Macaca fascicularis: one gene and its partners. The protein of the gene in region 3 binds, or shares a complex with, the protein of the main gene of each other region. Links are inferred from orthologs where the notes say so. Each region holds a gene or a part of one and is shown on either strand. Other genes may lie near its edges.

The links. Proteins that work in one complex are often made in the same cells at the same time.
Region 1: LSM6 (region 3) and LSM7 share a complex: the UniProt entries of both Homo sapiens proteins name them as parts of the precatalytic spliceosome. The link is inferred for Macaca fascicularis from reciprocal best matches to the Homo sapiens genes LSM6 and LSM7.
Region 2: LSM6 (region 3) and TXNL4A share a complex: the UniProt entries of both Homo sapiens proteins name them as parts of the precatalytic spliceosome. The link is inferred for Macaca fascicularis from reciprocal best matches to the Homo sapiens genes LSM6 and TXNL4A.
Region 4: LSM6 (region 3) and PRPF4 share a complex: the UniProt entries of both Homo sapiens proteins name them as parts of the precatalytic spliceosome. The link is inferred for Macaca fascicularis from reciprocal best matches to the Homo sapiens genes LSM6 and PRPF4.

What each region holds. Positions count from the first base shown.
Region 1 is NC_088393.1:2,987,993-2,992,788, forward strand, and holds the start of LSM7 (U6 snRNA-associated Sm-like protein LSm7), read right to left. Parts: upstream 2,948-4,796; 5' UTR 2,916-2,947; coding exon 2,910-2,915; intron 2,827-2,909; coding exon 2,736-2,826; intron 1-2,735. Other genes in the region: SPPL2B (signal peptide peptidase-like 2B), read left to right, coding at 3,068-3,133. UniProt on the Homo sapiens protein: Plays a role in pre-mRNA splicing as component of the U4/U6-U5 tri-snRNP complex that is involved in spliceosome assembly, and as component of the precatalytic spliceosome (spliceosome B complex).
Region 2 is NC_088392.1:1,012,260-1,016,790, reverse strand, and holds the start of TXNL4A (thioredoxin-like protein 4A), read right to left. Parts: upstream 2,948-4,531; 5' UTR 2,774-2,947; coding exon 2,621-2,773; exon of another isoform or gene 2,351-2,620; intron 1,044-2,350; exon of another isoform or gene 1,007-1,043; coding exon of another isoform or gene 971-1,006; intron 240-970; exon of another isoform or gene 238-239; coding exon of another isoform or gene 172-237; intron 1-171. UniProt on the Homo sapiens protein: Plays a role in pre-mRNA splicing as component of the U5 snRNP and U4/U6-U5 tri-snRNP complexes that are involved in spliceosome assembly, and as component of the precatalytic spliceosome (spliceosome B complex).
Region 3 is NC_088379.1:151,041,333-151,044,434, reverse strand, and holds part of LSM6 (U6 snRNA-associated Sm-like protein LSm6), read right to left. Parts: intron 913-3,102; coding exon 799-912; intron 1-798. UniProt on the Homo sapiens protein: Plays a role in pre-mRNA splicing as component of the U4/U6-U5 tri-snRNP complex that is involved in spliceosome assembly, and as component of the precatalytic spliceosome (spliceosome B complex).
Region 4 is NC_088389.1:44,822,633-44,827,164, forward strand, and holds the start of PRPF4 (U4/U6 small nuclear ribonucleoprotein Prp4), read right to left. Parts: upstream 2,948-4,532; 5' UTR 2,862-2,947; coding exon 2,835-2,861; intron 2,068-2,834; coding exon 1,890-2,067; intron 1-1,889. UniProt on the Homo sapiens protein: Plays a role in pre-mRNA splicing as component of the U4/U6-U5 tri-snRNP complex that is involved in spliceosome assembly, and as component of the precatalytic spliceosome (spliceosome B complex).

The DNA of each region.
Region 1 (4,796 bases), on a different chromosome or scaffold from region 3:
AGAAGAACAAATCCCAGCCCTGCAGCTCAGGGCTTGCGGGGAGCGGGCAAGAGAGATGCTCTGAGACCCGGGTGCAAAGGCTTTGGGGGCTGAGGCGGTTGCTGTGGCTTCTCTCTCCACGCTGCCTGCCCCACCCCCCAAGCCTCGCCGCCTTAGGTCACAACTTGGCACCTTGGGTTAGGGCTCTCTGACCCGGTGGTGACCTCTGCCATCTGATCCTGCTCCGCAGTGTCTGGTGACACTGAGAAGGATGAAGGGGGAGCTGTGTGTCCTCAGCAGAGGCCAGCCCACCCTCCCTGTCCGGGACTCCCGTCCTCTCCCCCCAGGCTCCTCCAGCCCAGGCCCAGGAGCGGTTCCGCCTCTGCGCTCACTGAGGGGCGTCCCTCAGCCACCCGCTCCCTACCCTCCTTCTTACCCCTGTCATCTTTCAGGTGCTTCCTCCAGACACCAACCCACACCCCTTAGGGTGCTGCCCTCTGCATGCCCCCCACCAATCTCAGGAAGCAGGCACCCCAGGCATTATTCTGCCCGCCTATCTTCTCCCAAGGCAGGGCTGTGAGCCTGTCCATGGCCGTTCTGCGCTGCGAACTACGACCAGAGGCGAAAGTGGCCCACCGCTCATCTCTGTATGCCAAAGTTTCACTGGCCCACCAGCACACTCGCCCGCTCAGGCACTGACCAGGGCGGCTCTCCTGCTCTGCGGGCATAGCTCACTGGTTGTGACAAGAGACCATCTGGGCTGCAAAGCTGAAGATATTTGCTGTCTGGCCTTCTACAGAGAAGGTCTGCCCACCTGCATACAGGCTTTAGCTCCTACCTCCACGGCTCCCTCTCTCTGCGCTCAAGTCCCTCCCCTGCAAAATGAAACCTGTCACCTATGAGATGGGGTCAGACGCAACGGTTCAGGTCCTTGGCACCAGCCTGACCAGTGAGCCAGCCCTCCTCACAGGGACAGATGTGAGCACTGAGGTAGGTAGGTCTCTAACCAAGGTTCCCCTCCCCGGGGTGTGGGCTCGGGCCTGTGACTCTGAGGGGACATGACGTCACTCCTGCACTTAGGTTATGCAGCTGTTTAAGCCCCTGAACCAGCTGACTTTGAGCCAATCTAGAGGGAAACACCCTGGGTGAGCCTGACCATATCAGGTGAGTCCTTCAGGGAGCAAACCCTTTCTCTGCTGTGTGTGTGCGTGTGTGTGATTTATTTATTTTTAGACGGAGTCTCGCTCTGTCTCCCAGACTGGAGTGCAGTGGCGCGATCTCAGCTCACTGCAACCTCTGCCTCCTGGGTTCAAGAGATTCTCCTGCCTCAGCCTCCTGAGTTGTTGGGATTACAGGTGTGCACCACCACGCCCAGCTAATTTTTTTGTATTTTTCGTAGAGATGGGGTTTCACGAAACCCCATGTTGGTCAGGCTGGTCTCGATCTCCTGATCATATGATCCGCCTGCCTCAGCCTCCCAAAGTGCTGGGGTTACAGGCGTGAGTCCCTGCGTCCCGCCAAGAGCTGCAGCATGCATCACCAGCCCACTGCCCATGCGAATGCTTCCTGCCCTCTGAGAGCTCGCCCTGTCTTCACTAGATTCCATGGAAGAGTTGCAGGCAGAGGCAAGCATCAGGTTAACATGCACGAAACCGCAAACGGTGACAGGTGCTACCAGGATCCTAGAACGATGGGGGGCCTGACGCCAGGGTCAGGGAGGGCTTCCCAGAGCAAGCACCTGTGGAACTTGTGCTTCTGCCGCCCTTTGCAGTCATAATCAGAAGTATGGATTCGGATTTTACTCCAAAACAACCGGGAGCCTCAGAGGTTTTCAGCAGGGAGCAAGAAGCCTCCATTTCTTTTTCATTAGGTGCCTCTGGCCGCTGAGTGGAGACTGACCTTAGTAGCTGTGATTCCCAATCACAGCTTGGGGGTCGGGGGGCGATCCTATCCCCAGAGAACACTAAGCAATGTCTGAGGCTATTTAGGTTGTCACAACTTGGTGGAGGCCAGGGATGCTGCTCAGCACCCTGCAGTGCCCCAGGACGGCCCCACTCCAGAGAATCCGGCCCCAAATGTGTCCACACTGCTGTGCGGGAAAGACCTTGACTTAGAGGGAGGAAGAGGAGAAGCCGGGAGATCTGTGGGGATCTGGGGCAGTCCTTGGACACACAGGACTGCTCTGGAGGCCAAGCCGGAAATCCCAATACCGGCTGCGCCACTGTGACTTTGGATTACGTTTGTTTCCCGCTCCTTGCCCCAGTTTCCCCGCCTGCAACATGGCCATACCAGTTCCTACCTCCCGGCGTAATTCGGAAGCCTGCACAAGGTAGTCGGCGTCAAGCGTGTAAAGAGGCGCCTCTGCGGCGGCTCACGCCTGTCATCCCAGCACTTTGGGAGGCCGAGACGGGCGAATCACTTGAGGTCAGAAGCTTGAGACCAGCCTGGCCAACATGGTGAAACCCCGTCTCTACTAGAAATACAAAAATTAGCCAGGAGTGGTGGCGCCTGTAGCCCCAGCCACGCAGGAGGCTGAGGCAGGAGAATCGCTTGAACCCGGGAGGCGGAGGTTGCAGTGAGCTGAGATCGCACCACTTGCACTCCAGACTGGGCGACGGAGCGAGACTGCGTCTCAAAATAAATACATAAATAAAAATAAATAAAAGAGGCGCCTCTGCATGCATCCTCATCACCTCTGTTGCTGACTTTATTTTAAAATTTTAAAGGGGGGGTGCCAACGGCGGGAGCCGCCTCACCTTCGCGTCCTCCCTGAAACTTCACCCGGATCGTCTTGTCGATGTACTTGGACAAGTCCAAGATGCTCTCCTTTTTCTTCTTCTCCTTATCCTGCGGGGAAAGCAGAGCGCATGAGGCCTGGAGCGCGGCCCGAGCCCCACGCCCCCCGGCTCCGGATTCTGCCGCGCGCTCACCGCCATCTTGTCGCGCCGTGAGGCTCTTCGCAGACACCGCCCCGTGCCCTGTGACCTCTCCCCTCCCCCCCACGCGCATGCGCGGCGCATGCGTGGCCCGGGGTCTCGGGGCGTTGCTGGGAAACATCTGCCGACGGTTGCGGCGGGCACCGGCCGAGATGGCGGCGGTGGCGGCGGCTGCGCTGGCGCGGCTTGTGGCGGCCTTTCTGCTCCTCGCGGCCCAGGTGAGCGCGGCACCGGTCCCGACGGCACCGCAGGCTGCGGCCCTTCGGCCTCTCGGCCCCGAGGCTACGCGCAGGAACGACCCCTCTTGGCCCGTCTTGGGGGTCCAGCCTCGGGGATCCGCGGTCCCCTCGTTGTCGGCCGGCGGTGCCGGGGCCCGGCCGTGACCTTGCGGGGCTGTCCCCGGCTTCTCTCCCTTCCCCGCCTCGGAGGCCCTCCGCCGCTGCAGCGCCCCTCACTTCCCACCGGGCCTGAAGTTTGTGCCCCCTCCATCTCCCTGTTCTGCTTGTCCGTTTCGGGGTCTCCAGCCGCCGCGGGGGACGCCTCTCTCCCGCTCTGTGGCCTTGGGCAGGCGGCCGCCCACCCCGCTCCGAGCCTCAGTTTCCCTTTAGGCGGAATGGCCCGGTGCTAAGCTAACCTCACCCTAGGGGGTGCGGTGGGGGAACCCAGAGGCGTCCCGCGTGTCCCCCAGTGACTGGCCAGCATCCTGGAGCGGCCAAGAGCCCAGCCCTGCACTGGGGTCGTATTCCCGCTCCATCTTTTACTCCGTGACCTTGGACGAGGGAATTCCCTGCTTTGAGCGTCAGTTGCTCGTCTGGAGAAGGGGGGTCGACTATGGTGTGGATTCTGGAGATGCTACCCAGGGTGACCAGCGCCTAGGGACAGCACGCCTTCCTTATATTCATTGTGTATCCTTTGATGTAGAGTGTCAGGTTCTAGCGGGGACAGTCTACGAGATGGCACTGTCGTAACTGCATCTTTTATTTTCTTAATTCCAAATCTTACCTCTTACCTGAGTTTGGTGGCTCAGGGAATGGAACCCGGAGCAGCCTCACAAATGCGGCCCTTAACCTTCACTCCTCTCTCAGAGTTCTCTTAAGGCGTCGCTGCCACTGGGCTCCTTCTTAGTCTCCACTCTTCCAGCCCCACCGCCATCCCCCTGCTGTGGCTGCCTTTGTCCCCCACATCCCTAGTCCATCCTCGACACAGCAGGAGTGACCCTTTCAAAGTATGTCAGTCCATGTCGCATCTGGATGAACGTGCCGTCCAGTTGTGACCTGGCGCCAGGGAAGCCTGCAGCTCATTGCAGGAGCTTCGTTGTCTAGTCTTTTCTCTTACCCTGAAATGCCCGTGGTCTCTGCAAGGCTGGAGGGCCCCCTCAGAAGCTTTCTGCGAACCGCACCTCCACCCCCAGCTGCCCTGTCAGCCCCCTGGACTCCCCCTATTCTGAGGCCAGGGACCTAGAGACCCCAGACATTTGGAAGGAGGAGGAAAGCCAAAGGTGGAAGAAAGATAGAAAGATCACAGAACGCTGTGGAGGGAGGGACTCAGTTTGCCTGGGAAGGCTTTTCTGAAGCAGGAGTGTTTTTTTTGTTTGTTTGTTTGTTTTTTTGAGACGGAGTCTTGCTCTGTCTCCCAGGCTGGAGTGCGGTGGCATGATCTCAGCTCACTGCAACCTCTACCTCCCGGTTCAAGCAATTCTCCCACCTCAGTCTCTCGAATAGCTGGGATTACAGGTGCACGCCACCACACCTGGCTATTTTTTTTTTTTTTTTTAAGTAGAGATGAGGTTTAACCACATTGGTCAGGCTGGTCTCAAACTTCTGACCTCAGGTGATCCACCTACCTCGGCCTCCCAAAGTATAGGGATGACAGGCGTGAGCC
Region 2 (4,531 bases), on a different chromosome or scaffold from region 3:
GTGAAATATTTAAGTGTAGCTCTGTTTCCAGACTAACTTTCTTCCTGAAGTTCACAGCTCAGCTCTAACCCAGCATGAGGCCAGTGGGCCTTGTGGAAGCAGCAGATCAATACAACACATCCAGGAAAAAATCGTATCAAGTCCAGCCGAACATCTGCAACTGTTACTCACTTTAAAACAGCTGGGACATCGACAGGACTCATAACAAGATAAGGAAGATTCTCCATTATCTGCCATTTCTGCACAGGGAAATTTTTAAATAGTTATATTGTTCTTTATACTAAAATCTTACATTTCAAAAATTTCTGTTGAGTTTCCCCAAAAGAGCTTCCAGAATTAGAAAGTCATATTTTGCCCATATACTAAGAAGAAAATAAAACACGAATAGTCTTTTAATGCATTTCAGGTTTGCACTTATTTTTGGAGACAGGGTCTCACTCCTGTTGCCCAGGCTGGAGTTCAGTGGTATAATCATGGCTCACTGCAGCCTTGACTTCCCGGGCTCAGGTGATTCTCCCACCTCAGCCTCCCAAGTAGCTGGGACTACAGGCATGTGCCACCACGTCTGGCATTTGTACTTTTAGTAGAGAACGGGTTTCACCATATTGTCCAGGCTGGTCTCGAATTCCTGGGCTCAAGTGATCTGCCTACACTAGCCTCCCAACCAAAGTGCTGGGATTACAGATATGAACCACCGTGCCTGGCCTAGGTTTGCGCTTTTAATAATTATACTATAATATTTGCATTAAAAGTTTATTAATAAAGCAATCCAAATTTTTGGACAGAAACAAAAATCAAACTATTTTAAAAGACCAAAAAAAAAAAAAAAATACCCCAAAGTGAGCCCATTTCAACTGTCCTTAAGTGTGTGTCCACTAGTGATACAGTGATTCATTCTGTAATAACAAAGAAATCGGACATAAAGGAATTGGAAAAAAAGAGCAAATCTGGCAAAGACCCTAACACTTACATTAACACATAAAATCTGTTTCCTAGCTAAGAGCATCTTGCTGAGCTCTGCCTGGATGTGATGAGACAAAGGCCCTCACATCGCCAGCCATCCTAGCCTCGAGCTGCCGGCAGCAGGATCTGAACACCAGCTGATGTTTATGCCACCATCTGCAAGGTAGAACAGTGAAAGATTCTAGAACTCGTAACTCAAAGTCAGTGATTTACAAGCAGTGATTTACTTATTGGGAAACTGCTCTTCGTCAATTCTTCGCTGGATTTCCAGTATCTGCCCTTGTCCACTACAAGTCAAGCAATGAAAAGCTGATGTGCTGGCACTGCCTCACTCATCATCTCTAATCCCTGGCTGGCAGAAGCCCCAGTGTGAGAGAACTGCTGCTCTCCTGATTCCCTAGGCAGCTCCTCAAGTCCTCAGTGTCCTGCTGTCCAAGAGGAAGAGGCTGGGAGATGGCTGGTAATAAAGCACTCCGCCTCTGTCCCTGACCCCCATGGAAGGGTTTCTGAGTGTGTGGTTCAAGGTCAGGTCACATCAGAATTCCCTGAGGGGCTTCTTTAAAAAGCCATTGCTGGACTTCACCCCACACCCATAGACTCAGAATCACAGATGCATTTTAGTAAGCACTCCAAGAGATTCTTGTAATAACTAAAATATAACAACAGTTCCTAACATCACGCCTCTCCTACTAAATAAGAAATAGCAAGAATTAATAAATGGCAGGCCAGACAGTCTTTCCTTTCCTCAATATAAAATGTCTTTATATCTGTTACTCTTTACTCAAAGGAGTTATTTTAACCCAGCCTACTTTAGCATCTGTGAAAGAAAAGATAGCTTCAATGTTACTTTTACTCTTCATCAAAATGAATAACCGCTCAAATTACTTACGGAAAATTAATATGGCAAATATTTTATTAACACCCTAGTATTTGTGCCCTTTGCCCTATTGCTACAGCTGCAAAACCTAAATAAACGCCATCCTAAAATTGCTGTGAGGAACCACAGAAAAAGAATGAAACCTGGTTATAAAATAGTGTCCCACAACTTTTATTGTCAGCAAGTAAGTGCCAAGGCCACTCAATGTACTAATATTAGAAATTCAGAAAACTAGTTCCAACAAAGCATAGTTCTATTTTCTCCCGATGTTTTCTGCATCTTAATCACTCTAAGCTATAAATCACATGACTTACAAAAAGCGCGGTGGGAGAAAACAACAACAGAAAAACAGGATTTCTTATGCTATTAACATGAAAGTTCTGCTTTACACATACAACAAACAAACAAGGCACCAAAAAAGGGCATCCTTTTAAATTAAGGATCTGCGCTCTCAAAATCTGCAAGTGTTACTTTGTTCACTGCACTGTAAGATTGGGAAAAACGCCTTACCAACAGAAATAATGAATTCCTTCGAGGGGAGGGGGATCATAAACCCTTTAAAACGTGAACAACTACAGGACCTCCCTGCAGAAAAAGGCGCGAAACGCCGGCACAGTCCCCGAGAGCGCTCGCCCGCAGCGCGGGAAGGAATCGCCCGGACGACCGCGCCGCGGCCCCTCCTCGGGGAACGGCTCGCGCCCCCAGGCGAGGCCGGCGGGGCAGAGGCGCGGGGCCGCTGCGGAAGCACAGCCAGCAGGGCGGGAGGGCCCGGCGCGCTACCTTCTCGGCGATGCTGTATAGGACCTCGTCCATCTTCATGCAGGTGGGGTCCCAGTCGTGGCCGAAGCGGATGACGACCACGCGGTCCTCCTCGGAGAGAATGGCCTGGTCCACCTGCCAGCCGTTGTGCAGGTGCGGGAGCATGTACGACATGGCGACCCGCGCGCTCGCCGCCGCCCGAGGCCGGGCGCCAGGGAGGGCCCAGCGAGGTGGTGGGCTCAGCCGGCCCCTCACTCCGCGGCCCCCGCCGCCCCCGGGCCCACAGCCGAAACCCGGTCCCACCCGCACCCGCAAGCTCCGCTGGCACTGCCGCCGGGCGGAACCTCTGGGCGCGCACGCACCGACGCCGTGCGTGCTGACGTCATGCGCACGGGCTGGCGCCGTGCGTGCTGACGTCACGCGCGTACAGACGCCGCGCTAACTTGTCGTTGGCCGGCGGGAGCGGCGGCGACCTGGCCACGGTGGAGCGCGGTTGGTGCCCTCCTAGCCGGCGTCGGAGTGGGGGTTCCTCCCCAGCGTCCAGGCGGCCTGGTGGTCCTGAGAAGCCCCGGGCTCGCCGTGCCCTGCCCCGACGCACCCGCCCCGAGGCCGCCCGCCGCCGCCCGGGCTGTCCTCCAGCCACGGATGGGGACGTCTTCAGAAAGGCCCGGCATGCCCGGCACTGCGGCTCGTTTTTTTCCTTTCCGGTGTCTGTTTCGGGTCATCGTTTGTGCTGTGTGTTAGCGAGACGGTTCGTGTGTGTCATTTGTGAAACTTGACCATAAAAATGTGTCGTTGTTGCCATACCCAGCCACGGCAGAGCCGAGCAGCGGGGTGGGGGGAAGCACTGGGCAGGCCGTCCTTGAGGAATGTCACCGTCAGGCCGGCTGCTGAGCTGCCTGTTGTAACCCGAAACCAGAGTTTTTGTCTTTTTATAAAGAAAAAAAATTTTTTTTGAGACGTTGTCTCGTTCTGTCGCGCAGGCTGGAGTGCAGTGGCGTGATCTCGGCCCACTGCAGCCCCCGCCTCCCGGGTTCAAGCGCTTCTCCTGCCTCAGCCTCCCCGTAAGCTGGGACTACAGGCGCCAGCCCGGCTAGTTTTTTTGTACTTAGTAGAGACGGGGTTTAACCATGTTGGCCAGGCTGGTTTCGAACCCCTGACCTCAAGTGATCCGCCCGCTTCGGCCTCCCAAAGCGCTGAAATTACTGGAGGAAGCCACCGCGCCCGACCTGAAGCCAGTTTTATTGCATAGCTTCAGCATAACTTGCACCTCCAGGACTGATCTGGCTCCCCCGGCTTCGCTCCCCAGTCAGAGCTCCCCAGACCCTTACTGGTGCCTATGAACTTTCTCCAAGAGAAATAATATTTCTCTTTTTAAAATAAAACCTCTAATCTCTGTTCTTCTGAGAGAGCACTTTGGGTTCATGTTAGAGACTCCCCCTGGTTTGCAAACTGACATTGACAGTAAAACTCTTGTCTGCTATCCAGCCATCCTTGTGGTCCTTTGGATGACAAATTGACAACAAATCATGCCGGGGCGCGGTGGCTCAGGCCTGTAATCCCGGCACTTTGGGAAGCCGAGGCCGGTGGATCGCCTGTGGTTGGGAGTTTAAGACCAGTCTGACCAACATGGTGAAACCCCGTCTCTACTAAAAATACAAAAAATTACCCGGGCGTGGTGCCGCGCGCCTATAATCCCAGCTACTCGGGAGGCTGAGGCAGGAGAATCGCTTGAACCCGGGGGATGGAGGTTGCAGTGAGCTGAGATCGCAGCACTTCACTCCAGCCTGGGTGACAGTGAGACTCCATCTCAAAAACAATGACAACAAAAAATCACTATGCAGATGCTGTGGTGTCTCTCAGATGGGCTGTGGCATAGTGAGAACTGCAGTCTGAGGAGCCTGCTGGCCTGGGGATTGAAATGGGTTCCAT
Region 3 (3,102 bases):
ATATGAAGAAATATGGTACTGTAAGCACAGGGGACAGACTATTATAAAAGTCAGGAAGTTTAGTTTATATCAAAGAGATCCAACTATTTAGGGGGTTGAAGACATCCAGAATTAAAGAAATCAACAAAAAATCTGAACTCAAGAATCCCAGAGTTTCATTTGGGAGATGGAACCAAGAAGTAGGGTAATTCTCGTAATTCTGTTATTTTTCCCTCCCCACCAAAAATACAAATGTGACTTTATCATAATTTTCATTTTGAAACTAGGTACTTAAAAATAACTATAAAAATCATAGCAATTTATTAGTTGTTAAAAAACTGAGTAACTTTATTTTTTCTATTTTGCCATTTTTGCCAAATCAAAGGATGCAAATCTGCACAGAAAGCATCTGAATGTTTAATAGAGAAGGGACAAATAGGACAAACTGCCAAATTATGCAAATTAAAGACAGCAGGGAAATGGTGCCCATTCTTACAGCTGCAACTTCCAGGCTACAAGAAGCAGGAATATGTGTTGGGGAGATAATAATACACTATATTCAAGAGAGCAGGGTTCCGGGTCAGGAGAACAATGCCCCCAGTTCCTCATCACTAAAGGAAGGGAAGGAGGGAATTTTAGTTTAAAAATTCCATGATGTATCTAAAAAAATAACTGGTCAAACTGACATATAAGCATTTTAAAATAATCAAGCCTAAAACTGGACTTTTAAATTATCTAGTAAACTCTTTGGTGATCTGGATTATAAACAGAAAGGCTTATTTTGAATGAATGCTGTACTGTAGGGTGAAGAAATGTTACCATTGTTTCCTCGGATAAATGCATCCCCATACTTATTCTTCAGTTGTCCATTTACATATTCTTCTGTCTGCTCCAGGGCTATATTCATGTAGCCATCCAAGCAAGCCAGGACCCCTGTAGACATATTTAGTCAAAAAGAAGAAATACAAGGCAAGTAGGAGTTGAAAATTACAGGGTATACCTTAGAGCAGACAATCTCTTTATTCATTAGCTCTTAGATGCTTAATAAAAAAATTCATACCCTAAATGAAACTCAACAGCTTAAGCACAAAACAACTCTAGGCCAATCTGAATGAAGACTAGGAAGGCAGTCACGCACCCACTACTACCCAGTAAAACAACAAACTGTCACTTCCCTCACGGTATGTATGACCACATAGCAACTTTTAAAGCATTCAAAAAAGTAAGAGAATAAGACTAATCCAACAAAAATACCATTCTGTGAAAGCTAAGCACAAGGTGGGCAATTATGCATGAACAAATGATCCTTGGTTCCAGTGGCATTTCCTACTTCAGCCACTAAGTGAAATACGGGTCTGGCAGATTTATTTCATCCTTTTACAACATCTATTGCAGCAGATGAATGTACTCCAGGGTTAAAAGGAAGTCTCCACAATCTGTTAAAATAATAGAAGAGGAGACAGCAGGTGCTCCCGAAAGAACATCTTAAAGCTGTGACTCACAGTGAAGAGCAGCTTGAGAATATAGGGCAACATATTGCATTATAACACATCTTGTTCTGTTTTGTTACAGCTATAATATTTTCCAATCAAAACTAATAGAGAAAATGGCCAAAAACATTTGAGGGAGCTTTCAAGGAAACAGTTTGAGTGAATCTTTAATTGTGTTAAGATGGTATAAATTTTGTAAAATTTGACCTAATGATCTTTTTCAAAAGATGAAAATCTGCAAGCCTCTAACTCTGTCTCTAATTTCAAGTGGTATTTTCTAGAAAAAAAAATTTAAGTAAAAACAAATACTAGATTCAATTAGTCGAGTCTATAAGTTTCTCATTTGATGTCTTAACTTCATTAATATGCTCCTCACTCTCTGCCTCTGCCCCCATTATCCTCTAAACAAAAAAGTTTCCTTTCAAAATTGTGTGTGTAATGACAGCATAAGACATTAATCTACCAGAATTCTGCTAAAAGCGGTAAACTCTCAAAGAACCAGAATGGACTGTGAATAATAAAATTATTTCCTAGCCAAAGAAAGCTTAAGCTATAACTTTAGCTCATTTCCTGCTGTATTATTTTACATATAAGCCACAATTATAAATGAGCAAGAAACTTCTGAGGCACAATATGCAAACCTGTTCGAAAACTAATGAAAAGAATTTCAAAATGAAATGTCCAGGCTGGGCACAGTGGCTCACGCCTGTAATCCCAGTACTTTGGGACACAGAGGCAGGCAGATCACTTGAGGTCAGGAGTTCAAGATCAGCCTGGCTAACATGGCGAAACCCCGTCTCTACTAAAAATACAAACATTAGTCGGGCGTGGTGGCGGGTGCCTGTAACACTAGCCACTCGGGAGGCTGAGGCAGAAGAATCATTTGAACTTGGGAGGCAGAGGCTGCAGTGAGCCAAGACTGAGCCACTGTACTCCAGCCTGGGTGACAGAGTGAGACTTGGTCTCAAAAAAAAAAAGAAAAAAAAAAAGTTCACTTCTAATTAAAGTATCTGTTCTCACAGCAAAGGCAAAAAACAAAAAACAAAACAAAAAACAAACAAACAAAAAAAACTGCCCAGGGGGTTAGAAATATAACCGTTTCCTTCTCCATGAGATAACCTCCTATACATAACCAAAACAAGACATTTTCTTACACAGAAACTGCTACAGAGAGTTGGAGGTTTTTCTTGTATGTTGTGTTTTGTTTTGGGTTTTTTTTTTTTTTGGTGTTTTGTAAACCACAAAATAAGCACGTTCTTTTAGTAAGGCTATCTAATAGTATAGAACATTTTGTTTTAATCGTATAAAGGCCACAAACAGACATTCATAAGAGGAAAAAAAATTATGGTTACTATCCATGTGAAAGACTGCTGAATCTCACTAGTAAACAAATAAAATATATGTAGAATGAGATATTACTTGTTGCCGATTAGACTGGAAAAGATGAAAAAAAGCTAATACAAGAGTTGGTGAGAACATGAAGGATAAACCCAGGTTCTCTGAAGCAGGGCCATGGAATACTCTCTGACTTGTAAATCCTAGCTCAGGGAATTGATTCTAAAGAGATGCTTGGTCAACTGTTCACAATATATGTCAAAGTAAAAGAGTTGTTTACAGTGGCAAAAAACTGGTC
Region 4 (4,532 bases), on a different chromosome or scaffold from region 3:
GACAGATGTCCCTACTGCAGAAGAGTCTTCAGTTTTTTGAGACGGAGTCTCGCTCTGTCGCCCAGGCTGGAGTGCAGTGGCGCCATCTCAGCTCACTGCAAGCTCCGCCTCCCGGGTTCACACCATTCTCCTGTCTCAGCCTCCCGAATAGCTGGGACTACAGGAGCCCGCCACCACAACTGGCTAATTTTTTTGTATTTTTAGTAGAGACGGGGTTTCACCATGTTAGCCAGGATGGTTTCCATCTCCTGACGTCGTGATCCACCCACCTCAGTCTCCCAAAGTGCTGGGATTACAGGCGTGAGCCATCACACCCAGCCAGAGGAGTCTTCATTTTATGCCCTCTGGTATTGTCTGAATTTCTTATGACAAATATGCGTAATTTTATTTTAAAAATAGAGTGGACCTCTCATTACTGACATGGAAAGATATCCTCAATGGTATATAAAATGAAAAATGGGGGTTATACAACAATTTACGTATCATGTTTTCACTTATGGAAAAAATGACGTATTTTTATAGCTGTATTAAAATTCTAAGATATACAATCAATTAATTAAAAAATACTGGATTTTCTACTTCACACATTCATACACTGTTTGATCTTTTAAAAGAAAAATAACTATTACCTTTTTTTTTTGAGACAGGGTCTCTCTCTGTTGTCCAGGCTGGAGTGCAGTGGTACAATCATGACTCACTGCAGCCTTGAACTCCCACCTCAGAACCCCAATTAGCTGGGAATACAGGCACGCGTCACCATGCCCGGCTAATTTTCTACTTTTTGTAGAGATGGGGTATCACTATTTGCCCAGGCTGGTCTCGAATTCCTGGGCTCAAGCCGGACTCCCACTTCGCAGCCTCCCAAAGTGCTGGGATTACAGGTTTCAGCCACCAGGCTTGGCCACTATTACTTTTATAATAAAACAAGATATCTCAGCCAGGTGCAGTGGCTCACGCCCGTAATCCCAGCACTTTGGGAGGCCGAAGTGGGCAGATCATTTGAGGTCAGGAGTTGGAGACCAGCCTGCGCAACATGGTGAAACCCCGTCTCTACTAAAAATACAACAATTAGCTGGGTGTGGTAGCCGGCACCTGTAATCTCAGCTAATCGTGAAGCTGAGGCAGGAGAATCACTTGAACACAAAAGGCAGAGGTTGCAGTGAGCCACGGTTATGCCACTGCATTCCAGCCTGGGCAAGAGAGTGAGACCCTGTGTCAAAAAAAAAAAAAAAAAAAAAAAAAAAGATATTTCCCTTTGGGTAAAAAATAATTGGAAAACTTCAAAAGGGAGATTATCACGAACCACTCTAGCTGCAAACCAATGCCAGAACTATGTTAGATCTCCAGAAGACAAATGGAATCAATCTGAATCCAAATGTACACTGAATTTTTGATAAGACTGCTCACTCATAGAAGCAAAACTATGTAACACATTGTAAGAAAAAGGCTCTCTGCATGATTTTAAGGGGGTAGGCAAAATACAGCCTTATAGATGCAAGTTTAAGAATTGAAATTCTGCCAGGCGCAGTGGCTCACGCTTGTAATCCCAGCACTTTGGGAGGACGAGGGGGAGGGATCACAAGGTCAGGAGTTTGACCAACATGATGAAACCCCGTCTCTACTAAAAATACAAAAATTAGTTGGGCTTGTTGGTGTGCGCCTGTTATCCCGGCTACTCCGGAGGCTGAAGGAGAACTGCCTGAACCCGGGAGGCGGGGGTTGCAGTGAGCAGACATCGCGCCACTGCACTCCAGCCTGGTGACAGAGCGAGACTCCGTCTAAAACAAAAGAACTTAAATTTTTTGACATTATAAAACTGATGATATTCAAGTTTAGGAAAGTATTCATTACACAAAGAGGTAAAGATGGGTTCACAATTTGCATCTTACCAGAGGTTATATTAATATTTCCAGCTTCGATCCCTGCTTTAAGTCCTTCTTTCCCCAAAATCCCAGACTCTCCTTTGGCCAGACGCTCCCTCTCCTTCTCTTCCAAACTTCCATAATAGATGTGTGGTTTCTTCACAACCGGAGCAACTAAGTCATCGGGTGTTTTAGTTTTGGTTGCCTGCCAAATCAAAAATCTGGATTAAATTGAGGTTTAATCTTGGCAATTTACCGGATTTCCCGAGGATGAAGCTCGCCCTGAGTTTCACAGTCCTATTTCCTTCATAATTGAAAGGACAAATTGGACACTACTTAAGATGTTCTTCATCGATTTGAGGTGAAGGGGAGGGTGTTTCAGTCCCTCACTTTAGCTGACGGGATTGATAAAACTAGTGAGGTTCTCTCGAGTATTTTCATATGAAAGGTTTGCTCTGGAATCTGTTTACTTTATTCTGCTGGAAACGTGGAATCTCGTGTTTTACGATGTATCCAAGATTACTGCTCATCACTGGGGAAATACTAAGGATAGATGAAATAACCAACGCGGTGCTAAAGGATAACAAGTTACAACATTACGAGTGTATACATTTCAAACGTTTCTAGACGTGAGGTAGAAGTTAGTAGGTCTCATTAAAATTTTGAGATCTGCCAAACGCATAAACCTTGGCCAAGACACTTCCCTATTTCAGAGCACCGTTACTGGATGAGTCGGAAGAGATGTTTGCCCTTTGGGGCTGTAGTGGGAGAGGTGCAAATAAGCTACAGTCCACGAAAGCGCTTAGGGGTCAGGAAAACGGTGGTCCGCTGTGTAGAACACCACTGAGTCCCGCAGCCTTCCTCCTCAGCCCTCCACCGCCTTCTCTCGCTCCCTAACGGCCCCTTCCCGCAGAGATCCTCTTCCCCCTTCGCGCTCCCTGCCAGAGTGAGTTGCGATCCCGGGCTCTGTACCGTGGAGGAGGTTCGCGAGGAAGCCATGCTGGGCTCTGGAGCCGCGAGGCCCCAGCGAAATCCAAGCTCTCCGTTTCAGACCTTCCACCGCGCGCCCAGCAGAGCGGAAGTGCGTCACTGACCGGAAGTGTGTCGCAAACAGGACATGGGCCAAGAGCCGTCGCTGCGCCCGGAGCGGCGCGGAGCATGATGGAAGTCGTAGTAGGAAATGGCGTCGTGGCATTGAGGGGCATCCCTCCTAGAACCTCCAAGAAAAGCTCGCGGAAGACGAGGTTCTGCTGAGAGAGAGGCTCCAAGCCGTCTGGGAAGTGTAGTCCAGTTGGCGTAGCAGTAGTTTCGTGGAGGGGAGCCGAGGTTCCGGGAAGGGGCTGAGCCGACTTGAAAAGAGGTAGGTAAGTCGACTCGCGCGGCTCGGGGCTGAACTCTGGAGCGAGTCGAGGGCTTCCGGGGCCCGCTGTGCCTCCCCGGGCCTACGGGGGCGTTTACGTCTTCTGGGAGCCGAGGACCGTGTTACCATAGAAACCCTGGGATCCGAGGTACAGGCCTGGAGCTAGGGGACGAGGACTGTTCTCTTCCATGGTCCGGAAGTCTTCCCAGGGGCCACCTATGAGCTTGATGGCTCGGCGGTGGATTTGGGCTGCAGCGAGAGATTAAGCTAGAAGAGCCCGCTGGTGCCAAAGTCAAATAAAGACCCGGCGGAGGAGCTTCGGCCTGATTTTGTTCATTTGTCTTCAGCCTGGTCTTTGTATCAGATTGAGAGTAAGATGATGGTTAGGAGGGTGTCAGGGAACTGTACGTCTCTCTGCCCTGCTGGATGCTGGGGTATTAGAGACGAACAGCATAAGGTTTTTATCCCCACGTGGACGGTGGGAGATCCTCAAAATATTGACGTTTCCGTAGCTGGCCAGATCCTCATCCAACCCCCTAGAAAAATTACAGCCATAATAGGTGTTATTTATTGAACATTTATTAAATGCCAAGTAATGTTCCAAGAGCTTACTCTGCATTACGTTATTCACTTCCTACAACAGCAAAGTAGGATACAGATGAGGAAACTAAGGCCTAGTTAGAAATGAAACTAATTGTTCAAGATCAGTGGCGCAGTGGGATTAGAACCTGTGCCCTTTAACCTCTACAGCCAGCACTTTTAACTGCTACTCTATACTGCTCCGTAGTGGCCAGTTTTTCGCAGTTTGCAGAAAAGGTAAAATGTATAGTAGACCTTTTTTTTCCTTTTAGGTATCCCTATCCCTCTCTTTCCCTCTTTGGAACTTTGGCTTTCTCTACCATTTGTCTGCATTGGAATCTGGTAGAAGATAATGCCTGATTTAGTACAAAGCAATTTGAAATGTAATGTGCCAGTGTTTTGTGTTGATAATATCGCCTGTAATATCCTAAGCTTCATGGGAGAAGGAAATATTTCTTCCTTTGTATACTTCACAGTCCCTAGTTTCATCCTAGATACATGTAATAATTTGTATCTCTATATACTTTCAAGGAGTTTTCACTTCCATCATTCTCACTTAATCCTTATCATGTTGACCTGTATAATTTTTATAGGAGGCTAAAATTATTAACCAAACTGAACAGCTTGCTTCGATGACTTCTTTATGTGTGAAATAGGAATCATTTTGTCAACTTCACAGGTTTTTGTGTTAAGAATGTAAAGAATGGGAATGGAAAAAGAGCACAGTGCTC